3 linked regions of the Arabidopsis thaliana genome follow. The protein of the gene in region 3 interacts with the protein of the main gene of each other region in a pairwise test. Each region holds a gene or a part of one and is shown on either strand. Other genes may lie near its edges. The genes, in order: AT4G14720, HSL1 and TMAC2.

What was found.
Region 1: the proteins of TMAC2 (region 3) and AT4G14720 interact in binary tests that used the Arabidopsis thaliana proteins (3 or more experiments, as listed by UniProt).
Region 2: the proteins of TMAC2 (region 3) and HSL1 interact in binary tests that used the Arabidopsis thaliana proteins (3 or more experiments, as listed by UniProt).

Annotation. Positions count from the first base shown.
Region 1 is NC_003075.7:8,433,449-8,437,206, forward strand, and holds the start of AT4G14720 (TIFY domain/Divergent CCT motif family protein), read right to left. Parts: upstream 1,658-3,758; 5' UTR 1,487-1,657; coding exon 1,369-1,486; intron 1,187-1,368; coding exon 1,047-1,186; intron 912-1,046; coding exon 733-911; intron 248-732; coding exon 157-247; intron 69-156; coding exon 1-68. UniProt on the Arabidopsis thaliana protein: Regulates the arrest of dispersed meristematic cells during lamina development.
Region 2 is NC_003075.7:15,477,292-15,481,049, reverse strand, and holds the start of HSL1 (HSI2-like 1), read right to left. Parts: upstream 1,672-3,758; 5' UTR 1,238-1,671; intron 877-1,237; 5' UTR 816-876; intron 556-815; exon of another isoform or gene 409-555; 5' UTR 262-408; intron 69-261; 5' UTR 3-68; intron 1-2. UniProt on the Arabidopsis thaliana protein: Transcriptional repressor of gene expression involved in embryonic pathways, such as LEC1, ABI3, and FUS3. Repressor of the sugar-inducible genes involved in the seed maturation program in seedlings.
Region 3 is NC_003074.8:385,252-389,009, reverse strand, and holds the start of TMAC2 (AFP2 (ABI five-binding protein 2) family protein), read left to right. Parts: upstream 1-1,958; 5' UTR 1,959-2,572; coding exon 2,573-3,532; 3' UTR 3,533-3,758. UniProt on the Arabidopsis thaliana protein: Acts as a negative regulator of abscisic acid (ABA) and salinity responses.

The sequences.
Region 1 (3,758 bases), on a different chromosome or scaffold from region 3:
CTAGAAGCAAAAATACCATTTTCAGGCAAATCAATTGGATTGGCTGCAAAATGCATGATAGACCGGGCCTGCAAATCAATACACAAGATGAATGATCAAAACCATACCATCAAAATTTATATTTTCAGGCTGGACAGAATTATGTGATTCATTTACCTTTTCAGGTGGTACTCCATCATATACATTCACTTTGCCACTATAAAATATCGTCATTTGCCCAACCACCGCATTTGTTTCAGCTGGGCTTCTGATGCAACATTACAAAAAAGCGTGTTTAAACAACTTAATTAAATAACATTGGAGTAGTAATTTGTTTATAAAACAACATGCACCTAATATCAATAAGACTTTGTACATGAACTACCCCTAAAACTCTTGTTAGTAATTGCAGAATTCACAAATCATATAGACTAATGGACTAAGTAACTGATTTATCGTTCACTAGCAATAATCACATCACATCATACCAATCCTCAAAACAGAAGAGTAAAGAGTAACACAGAACCAAGAAGATCTATCTGACTCTTTTAACCTAAATTCTGTGTGACCAATCCACCATCAAAACCATGATTCATATAGAAACTTTTCAATGTCTAAGACACTGATATCAAACCAAGTACTTATTCTAAGATCACAAACAGAATGTCACAATGCATCAGTTCTCTTCTTGAGGCATGAAAGCAGAAGAAAGATACCACACAAAGTCAAAACGCTATAGAAGAAAATGTAAACCTGGGGGAAACAGAAACAGTCTTGTGGCTATCTTTATCCGCAACAAACTGACCAGAACTACCAGAAAACTCAGCTGATCTTGGAGAATCCCTTCTATGGCACGCACCATCATCTTCCTGTAAAGGAATCCTTCCACAAGCTTCGAGCTCGTTCCTTGGCTCAATCAACGTTGTTGTAACCTGTGAACAAAACAGCAGTACACACAGAACAACAATTTTCCCTAAATCAGCACCAACCAAGTAAACGATTCTCTACTACTTCAGAACTTAGATTTTTCTCTGTAAATCGAAACAAAATCGAAGAACAACACTCACGCGAGGCGGATTTGGCGGCTGAGAAACAAGGATCTTGCGGAGGATTCCGGCGCCGGAATCATCTCCAGGTTCATAGAGAGCTTTAAGAGATAAAACTTGCTGGATCGCCTGAGATTTATTCCACGAAGGCCTGCGCATTCCTGTTTCGACACGTGTCAGCCGCCATTCTCCAGAGAGCGAAAAAAAAAGCTCGGAGAGAAGAAGAATAGAGAATTTCAAAAAATTGACTATGTACGATTCTTCTCAGCAAAATCCGTGAGGAAGATCCTACCGTCGAAGACAATAAGACCGGAAAAAAATGGAGAAAGGAAGAAGAAGAAACCTTTCTCTTTGAGGAATTTGCGGCAATCTTCGCGAGTAAGCTGAGAAATGTCTTCTTCAGTGAGAAGCTTCAGAGGCTTCTCAAGTATAGACTTCGCCGTAGTAACTCCTACATCCATATCCCTTGTCAGATTCCGGCCAAAACGGCCTCACCGGAGTCCCGACGAGAGAGCAGTGGCGTTTTCGTAATAATTGGAGGGTTTTGAGGGCAAAATTAGAAGAGCGAGAGAGAGAGAGAGAGAGAAAGAAAGAGAAAGAGTGAAGTCGCTAATAGTCTATGGGCTTCAATTTTAGGGGAATGGTTTTTGGAGCAGCGAAGCTCCCTAGACTGCCACGTAAGCATCCTATTAGTCTCTCTAGATTATAGCCTAATCATGCATTGCTTAAGTATCCCAATTATTTTTTATTTTTTGGGTAAATCTTATGCTGATTATTTTTTTCGCGTCAAACAGTGAAATAAAATAGTAAATGGTAACAGTTTTATATTAAATTTAAATATAATAATAGCATGAGTGATAAAGAAAAATGACACGAAAGAAAACAGAGATTATTTTGTAATCAGAGAGTATCTTGTTTGTTTATTACTGAGTGGATGTCAATTTATCTAAAATCGCATACGATCAATTTGCATGTGATATTTTGATTAAACAACTAATTATTTCTATAAATGGATAAGAGTTATTCCAAAAATAGAACAAAATATCTTTTGTGTTTTGTTTGTATACTACTTTAGTCTAGATGGACAATCATCAATTCTTGGTTAGTGTTTTTTTCCTGGTTTTACAATTCTTGGTTAGTATCTCTAAAAAATGGAAGATCATGTCACTTATACGATTATTACTTGTTAGTTAGCAGAACCTCCAGCATTGCAACACTTCAACATGTCACGCAATTTTTGCAAAAAGATAATCATTCCAAACATTTTTGCAAACAGACAATTTTCAGTTTAAAACAACCAATCAAACCCTAAATGTAATCATGTTAAATGAGTTTTTTTTTTCTTAAAAAAACATCTCATAAACATGTTAACAAAAAATTTGTTAAGCTAATTTACTAGTTGATACTTTTAAAATGGATTTAGCATTTGTTTGGCAACAACATGTGTGCTATGAATTGGATAGCAAATTAGCAATACAACAAAAACACTAGCACAAACCATTTACTTTTTTGTTAAAGGATCTAGCACAAACCATTATACTAAAAAATCTCTTCGATATCCATATTCAGTAGATCATTTAGATGCATGTAAATGAAAATGGCTCAACACATAAAAACGAAGACTAGTCATTTTCTGAAGTGAATACCAAAACAATTGAAAAATACAAGAGATAGAGTAATAAATTGACAAGACGAAGGAGGAGAAATATATTTTCACATGAGTCTGACCAATATCGATTCTCCCTTAAACCTTGCTTGGTCTTGCGTGACATCCCTTCTCATTATCCAATATATAAAGTGATAATTGATAACAATGCATGATACATGTAATTATACTCGTGATGTACGATAAGGATTCATCACTCAATTCATCCAATGTCGTAATTGTCAAGATATACATGCATGAATAAACGAACAGTTGAAAACTTCTTTTTAAAATATAGTTTCGTCATCCATACATACGGTGATGTCCCGAAAAATGATTAGATAAGCAAACCATATTAATGCAACTTTTTCTTTTTAGATTACTATGAAATTTGGAATACTGATCCATAATTTTTTTGAACAAGAGAATGGAACGTGTAAACATTTTATTTTTTTTAACATCGAAAGTCGAACTTTGTGACTTTGAAGTTAATTCACTCTCGTTTGAAGGTTTTTATAACTTACCAACAATTGATATTGAAATATATAATATTAATCAATGGTCTTCAAAAATCAAAACTATCTACCTTATACTGTATATGCATATACCATTTTTTTTTTCTTTATTGTTATTGTTAACCAGAAATTTCTAATTTTTGGCTCATAGTTTTATGTCCATGGACTAGCATTTGATAATATATACTTATTGCGATTCCACAAACGTAAATCATCTCTCTCCATATATAGCACTTAAGACTCGACCTCATATTTGGTAGTACTGTTACAATACCCTCTAGCAAGTTGACAGCAATTTTCAATTTGCCAATAACTTGTAAATCGTAAAAACTTAACATAAAAATTGGGATATAGAATTGACTATTGAGAGTAGTGGAAGATATGAGATAAAGAAGAGGGAAACAAAAAAAAAACAGAGTGGAAATAGGAAGAGTCGTTATCGAAGAAATGGATCCAAGTTGGTACCATACCTTTAATCTAAAGGATGCATCCGCCATTTCTATCGACACCACTCACCAAACCCTACCCAAATTTATTTTTTTCTTAAAGGTTTTTAAATTATATATTGTTGAC
Region 2 (3,758 bases), on a different chromosome or scaffold from region 3:
ACCAGAAAAGGCAGAAGAAGATGTCAAATATATTGTCGAGAAACTCAATACGCTCCTTCTGTGAAAGACTATATACAAATAAAAACATATAAGATGACGATATATAGAAGAAGATACCAACTGTTATAAAGTAATCAAAATCCGTAAATGAATGAATAGTTAAGGACATTTGATATTGACATCTAAAGATAAGATATCATTGCATCCTAAGGAAAAAAAAACGAAATTAAAGTTCACAAGAGACAAAGAAAATCAACAGACCTTTCGAAGAAACTTGTCCAAAAAAGAGAAACCACGAGTCACTTCCATCTCCTCAGTTTTCAACCAAACCAATTCTAAGCTTAGACATGTCCACACGAAACTTCTCAGTGGTGCAGTGGAGATGGAGCCTCTTAAATAATTGTGCCACTGTGATAAAAACGCACCATCGAAAAGTTGACTGATGAATGTATGGAAGTCCAAGAAGTCTACAATAGTGATAATGAGAATAATATCTTGACTGTGAAAAAGGATGAATTGATTCTGTAGACAAAACTAAGTGCAAACCTTAAATAGTCAAATTATTCAATTGAACGGAAATGATCCATCACCTATCTGAGCTACAGTAGGCTAACAACGATTCCACTACCTAGGCACAATTTCAAGGAAGATATAATTCTTATTAAACCGCTAAATAATCCAAAAACTTGCGAGTCAGCAAGATCTAATCTGAGGATACACATAACTTTTAATGCTATTGAAAGAAGAATATAGACTTGAAGAAAAAAATGTAATAAGCAGCTACATTAAGTAAACAAGTAAACTAAATGTAATACCTTAACAGAGATGACAGAAATGTATGCAGGTTTGTCTCCAGTAACAGGAGAAGATATTTGGCTGCAATTGGAAAATACAAAAATTAGGTGAATAACATGACATATTTGGCTGCAATTGGAAATTCATAAAGAACCAAGGACGACACTTTCTTAAGAAGCAATAAAATGATATATAAATCGAACTAGTTTCATTCTTCTTCAAATCTTTCAACTTTGGTTGACCCAAAAAACCACTGATTTCCAAGTAAAGCTTATAACTTTGTAAAAACACTGATGTAAAGGTTCAATTTTTACAATCCTAATTCCGAAATCTACGGTCTTTGAACAAAAAAAAACATGCATAAATCACCAAGTTTCTGAACACTAATGGCCGAGCAAGTAAATTTATCAGAGCATAATCACCGGAGAGGGTTAACCCTTACCTTGGTTTGTGTGGAGAGAGAGCCGATTGATTCGATCGGAAGAGAAGGGATAGTTTTCGACGGAGAAGTGAAGTTAAAAACCAAGTCAAAGTCGTCTTTACGTCGACCAAGTGAAGAAGATTTGAGCCAATTCAATTGCAGCAACAAGAGGTAGTGGCAAAGAGATTTAGAAATAACGAAGGAGTTGATGAATTGGTTTCTAAATAAAGAAGAAGAAGCCACAATGACTTAGAGCGAAAATCTCCATTACCAACAACAACAAAGGGCTCGTGGAGAAGACAACAAATCTGGAGCGTTAGATTACAAAAAAAAAAAAAATGAAACACAAAGAAACTGCTGACGTCAGCCTGACCTAAAACCCAGTATGCTTTATTTATTTATTATGGATGAGAGAATAATGTAAAGTTTACTCAAAGTGTGACATTTTATGTAATAAGATATTAATTAAAGTGCACGCAAAAGGTCATCTCTGTTTCGACCTCACCTAAGGTTTGCTTCTAGATTTATATACGTCTAAATTAGTATTTTGATTTCGATAATAATATTATTTAGTAAAGCATTGAATTTGAGAATGATGAAGTGGCTTGGTTTCTAGGGTTATAAGACAGGAACCCACGACGACCATCACCAACACATCAGCAGATCAGCTACTAGGTCCAACTCCAACTCTTTATTTTTGTTGGTTCAACAATTTACTGCAAAAGACTTAAAAAAATGTAGCCCAAATAATCATGTCAGGATAATGGACCGAAGATTGGTTGATGGGCCGTTTTAGATCAAAAAAATCATTCCACCTTTGGAAAAGATCTCTTTAGCATATTACTTTAAGGTTTGTTGCAAATGAAAAATAGTTGGAAAATATTTTAGACCCTTAAAAGTCTTATCCGATAGGTAAAGTATTTAAATCAGTTCATGGGTTGAGTTTCATAATTGAAACTAGGCATAGATTGGCCCTTTCCTTTCTCTTTAATAAATACTCGATTCATCCCTTTCTACTGTCTGTCTCAATATCTGTACATACCATTCATTGTAGCAATCACTATACGTACATGTTAATGTCTATGAAGTATGAACAATAATAAGAATTGGGTAAGAGAGTTATATATGTTGTTGATAAACAACAGTGAATTCAAAACTATATAATTTAGAGAGGGTTTGTATATCCCTTTTTTTCCTCTGTATGAGTAATGTGAGAACCAATTATTCGTTTATAGATGAATAATAAATTATCTTTCTGTTTATCGTACCGAGTTACCTACCATATTGCTTAGACTGGAAATGCTTTGTTGGTAAAAAGACATGATTGGTTGAAAAATAGATAAAAGCATGAATGGGATTCAAAAACTAACGATAATTAGGAAACTGGATTACCATGGTTGGTAGGCTAAACCCTAGCTATTCTAATCGCTATTACATTCTCACCTACTTTGCATAGTCATTAAATTTGCATATCCACGAATTCGTACTAATAGTTTCGCAGAAAATACACATGCAATCTTATGAATATTGCTTGATTTATTTAAGAAACAAACTTGTATGCAATTATTGGTATATAAATCAGTTATAACCGAGCCATTTGTCAATATGACTTTGACACATGGGTAAGTCTAAACAACTAATTCATACTCTAGTTATCAATTGTCTCTTGTAAATAATTTAGTACGTATTTTTTTAGTTAGTCTTATAGATGAGTAAATCACCCTTTTTAAAATTATTAGATTTTCGGTTAAATGTTTTGGATTCTAAACTCAAAATTAATTAGCAATATGTGATGAAAACCCTTGTAGTTATGTAATTGCATGAAACAAAAATGATTTCAAATGTTATTCATATGTACTAGATCTTCAAACATTAACACATGAACTAACATTTTGGAATTACATCGATATTCATTTAATTGGATCCAAAAGGTTTCAACTTCTCGTTCTGTTATTAGTTTTTGTTTCCTCTTTTTTGTTTTCTATTTATTTTCACATGTTCTAGCTTCTTAATTCTAAGCTAACTTGAGTAGCCTAATAAACTTGTGTCACATGATGAGGACATTTCTCAAATGGAACATTCAGACATTTACACTCCCATACGTTGATATCATGTTATTTGCTATATTAGTCTAATATTGTTGCCTTTCAGATTTCACATATGAAATATTCCTTGTTGTAACCAAGAACCATCTCTGTGTATTTTTACAAGCATAAAATAGTAGTTGACAATATAAAAATAACTATCTGATGATGCAACTCTAGTTAATATATCACGAATCACTGACTCCTATATAATGTGTAGATATACTGTATATGTATCGACACCAATTTTACATACATTACCGAAGTATTGATTGGTTCTTTCATTTGATAAAAGAGAGCATATAATTTCACTTTAATCACACTCATTATACATTTGCGAAAGTCTTTCATTCACAACCGTCGTTGCGTTTAGTTTGCTAATACTTTATGTTAGTGCCCGTTGAGTTTCTAAAAGTGTAGAAGTTTTTGTTGTTTATTTATATAGACTCTAGTTGCAA
Region 3 (3,758 bases):
AGACAAACAAAAACGTATGAATTACGTGAGCTTACGTGAATATTGCAAATAGAACACCAAATCATTAATTTCGGTTGACGTGGATATTCAAATAATGATCTACACATATACAGTACCGTGGGTACGCATGCCATTTCGAGACGTATACAATTCAGTTTCTTCCACTTGAGTTTCAGATCTTTATCAAAATTACAAACACGTTTATATATATATACACATATAGATAGATTGATAGCCACATTTCTGAGATTCGATAGTCATATATACGACTATATATTAAATATTCCAGAAGATATATTGACACTTTTTCTGAAAGACTAATTAAGAAGAACGCGCAAGTATGACTATGCGTTACTAAGAATATTTAATTTCCATTAGAAAATGTGTAAGTTTATCTGATATACTAGTTAATTAGCCAAATGATTTTAAAATTTACGTTAAGAAAATTTCGTAGGTTCAACTTTTTAGTGTGTAAGTTATTAATTGTGAATTATACAGCTAGGAACGTCCGTTATATGTAAACAAAGTAACTATATATAAAATTTAAGACTTAGAGTAAGTATTTATTATGTGATTGTTATATATACTCGCTAAAGAGTACTAGATGAAGAGTGAAGAGGTTGGGCATCTCGAGAGAGAAACTGAAGAAAACAGAAGAGAAAGAGAGTTATTCACTCGATGGTCCCCCTAATTTTCCTATCACTTTTTCTCTCTCAATTTAACCGTCTCTTGTATTATCCCCAATAGTTACATTTTTAATTACTCTTATCATTTCAATACCCAACAAAGCAGAAACAGCCCAGCAAAATTTTCACTTCCAGAAATTATAACATGGTTGAATACACAACACTAATTAACTGCAATATGAATCATAAATAAATTTATTAAGATTTCTATATAAAAACTGTTGGGCAGCAAATGCATGCGTACGATATCTATAGAATTGGAGTTTAGTGCAATTGTTGGTATTTCTTTCTTTGGGGAAAGTGACACGTTAAAATATGAAAAATGTAAAAATTTGAACAAGACTTACAATAACTAGAAAAATCAGAGATACAAAATTTACTACTCTATCAGTCTATCTGTTGTCTTATACACTACACCTTTATTATGCACTGTTCCTATCCCAAACACCAATCCCTATGCTCAGTCCATATGGTAGATACTACTAGAGATGGTAACCCAACACATATGTGTTAGATGGCCCCATAGGCAGTAAGCAAAACATTACTTTTTACAACCATATCTTTGTTTATAAATTTTAAAAGCTATGTGAATTTAATTTAGTATTACTATCCTGGATCACAATCTTGGGCCAACAAAAGAAATGTGTATGGGCCAACTGTGATGAAAGAAAAGCCCAATGGATCAAAGTTCAGATGCTTTCTGTAGCTCTTTTGTAGAGAAGTTTTTGTAAGTTTAGTTATAGAAGCAAAAATAGGTAAACCACAAAACTGAAGCCCGGTTGACTAAATCCTTAAATGTGATCATGTCACACAGCAACTTGGCTACATGTTGTCGTGAAGCAATGAATAAAGTGGTACGTGGTGTATTCTAGAAGCGAAACGTGTCACTAATCTTATCACCTTTTTAGGGTAAAATAGATTTGAAACAAAACATTTCTTCAAACATACAAAAAAAGAAAGAAATAGTACAAGTTGGCCACTATGCGTGTCCCACTTCTCGATCTCCTCTTTGATTGTTTGCGTCTCTTTAGGAGATCCTCCCATTCATTCATTCTTTCCTCTCCACCTTATTATTACTATTATTCTGCTGCATGAATTTCAAAAAATTATGTAACAACAATTTACCGAAATGAAATTACCACAAAGGATTAGAAACTAGCACATTCTTAATAACCAATATTGAACTCTTATTAGTATTGTTGTTAGAACTTGAAGTTAATTAGGCCACAAGAAAAGGCGCGTAGAAATGTTTAGATAAAAAAAATGTCTAACGTATTTCTTTGGTTTGCCGTGTCGGGGGCCCAGTCAGGCTGGATACACGTGGCAATAAAGGGACTGTCGTAGTTGAGCACGTTGATTATTAGACACGTGTCGAGTTGTATATGAACAAAGTAGCCTACGTCTACGCCACTTGATGCCCTTTTCCACGTGGCGTGGTGGGTGGTCGTCTATCTTTTCCTATAAAAAATCATAAATCAATATTAAAATGTTTTCAAGAAGATAATCCGAATAATTCCCTATATTTTGTGTCTGTCAACGAGAAATCACTATCTATTTTCATTGATTATACTAATGCAAATTGGTATATTAACTGGAAATTATGTCTATTTTAAGCCAACTTGTGTGAAAATATACTAAAGTAAAGTTTTAAAATCCGTACTACATCGTCAACTATGCTTGTAATATAATTCAAAAACATGATTTTCTTTTTTTTTCCCTGAAAAATATAAAATATGCAAATTGAAGTACTATAGTTTATAATAGTAAGCATTTGGTGCTTGTTTTAAGACAAAATTGTTTCGTCTCTCTCAAGATTGAAAATAGAAAGTTAAGCCAAAAACGTTTCTCCCTTCTCTTTCGAATTTCTCTGACTTTGATATTTGGTTATGGAGATGATAAGAGGCAGGGGAATCCCAAACGGCGTCGTTCAAGTACCCAATCTTTCTGCTAATAATCTCTTGCAGAAGTTTTTCATCGCAAGCAACCATTTTTGTCAGCGAGACTCTGAGCATGGTGAGAATCAACAAGAAGCGAAGAAGAGAGAAGATGAAGCAGAAGAGGATGAGAAAGACGTGGAGCTAACGTTAGGTCTTTCGCTTAATGGACAGTTTGGTACGGATCCGAGATCGAGAAAAAGGAGGCACTTTGAACTGGGTCGATCTTCTTCGATACCGGAAGGTTTCGTCTTCGATGAACAAAGATCCGGCGGCGGTAACGGCGGAGATATGCGTCGTATTGTGGGCCGTGGAGGCTCAGACATGTTTCAGCTGGATCGGACGCGTTCTCTGCCGGTCGTAACGGAGATGGATATAGAGAAAGAGCGGAAGGTGTCAGAGAAGACGAGGGCATTTATGGAATCTCCGGTTACAAACAGAGGAGCATATCTAACAAAAGATAAAAACAGAGGCCAAGCCGTCGAAACAGAGAAGCCGAGGGCATTTCTGGAATTTAAGATTCCTCCGACCAAGGAGGGAAAGAAAGAAAAAGATCGGTTGGTTGTCACTGGTCCGGTCAACGGGAAGGGTAAAAATGGAAATACGGCGAAGAAGCAGAAGAATAATGTGGAAAATTCAGGAATGGAGAAGGCGAGGAACATTCTTGAAGACATGCCTTGTGTGTCGACGAGAGATGTCGGAGCCGACGGGAAACGAGTGGAAGGGTTTCTTTACTGGTACGGAGGGAACAAGGAGGAGGTCAAGATAGTTTGTGTTTGCCACGGCAGTTTTCTTTCTCCGGCGGAATTTGTTAGGCACGGCGGAGGTACCGTCAGCGATGATGATGGTGGTGATGTTATGATTAACCCTCTTAGACATATTGTTGTTAAACTTCCTTCTTCTTCTATCTAGGGATTATTATTTATCCCCAACTATTATTAGAGCTCTCATTTTTTGTTTTCCCTAACTTTCAAAATGTAACGATGTCAAACTAATTTGACCGACTAAACTAGCTGAAGCATGTACATTTTATATCCAAAGTTATTACAGATCCACTTGATTTGATTTTGGTTAAGAATGTTGAATCAATCTTAGCTAAACGGATGTTTTATTTTTTAACGTTAGAAATTAAAGATTC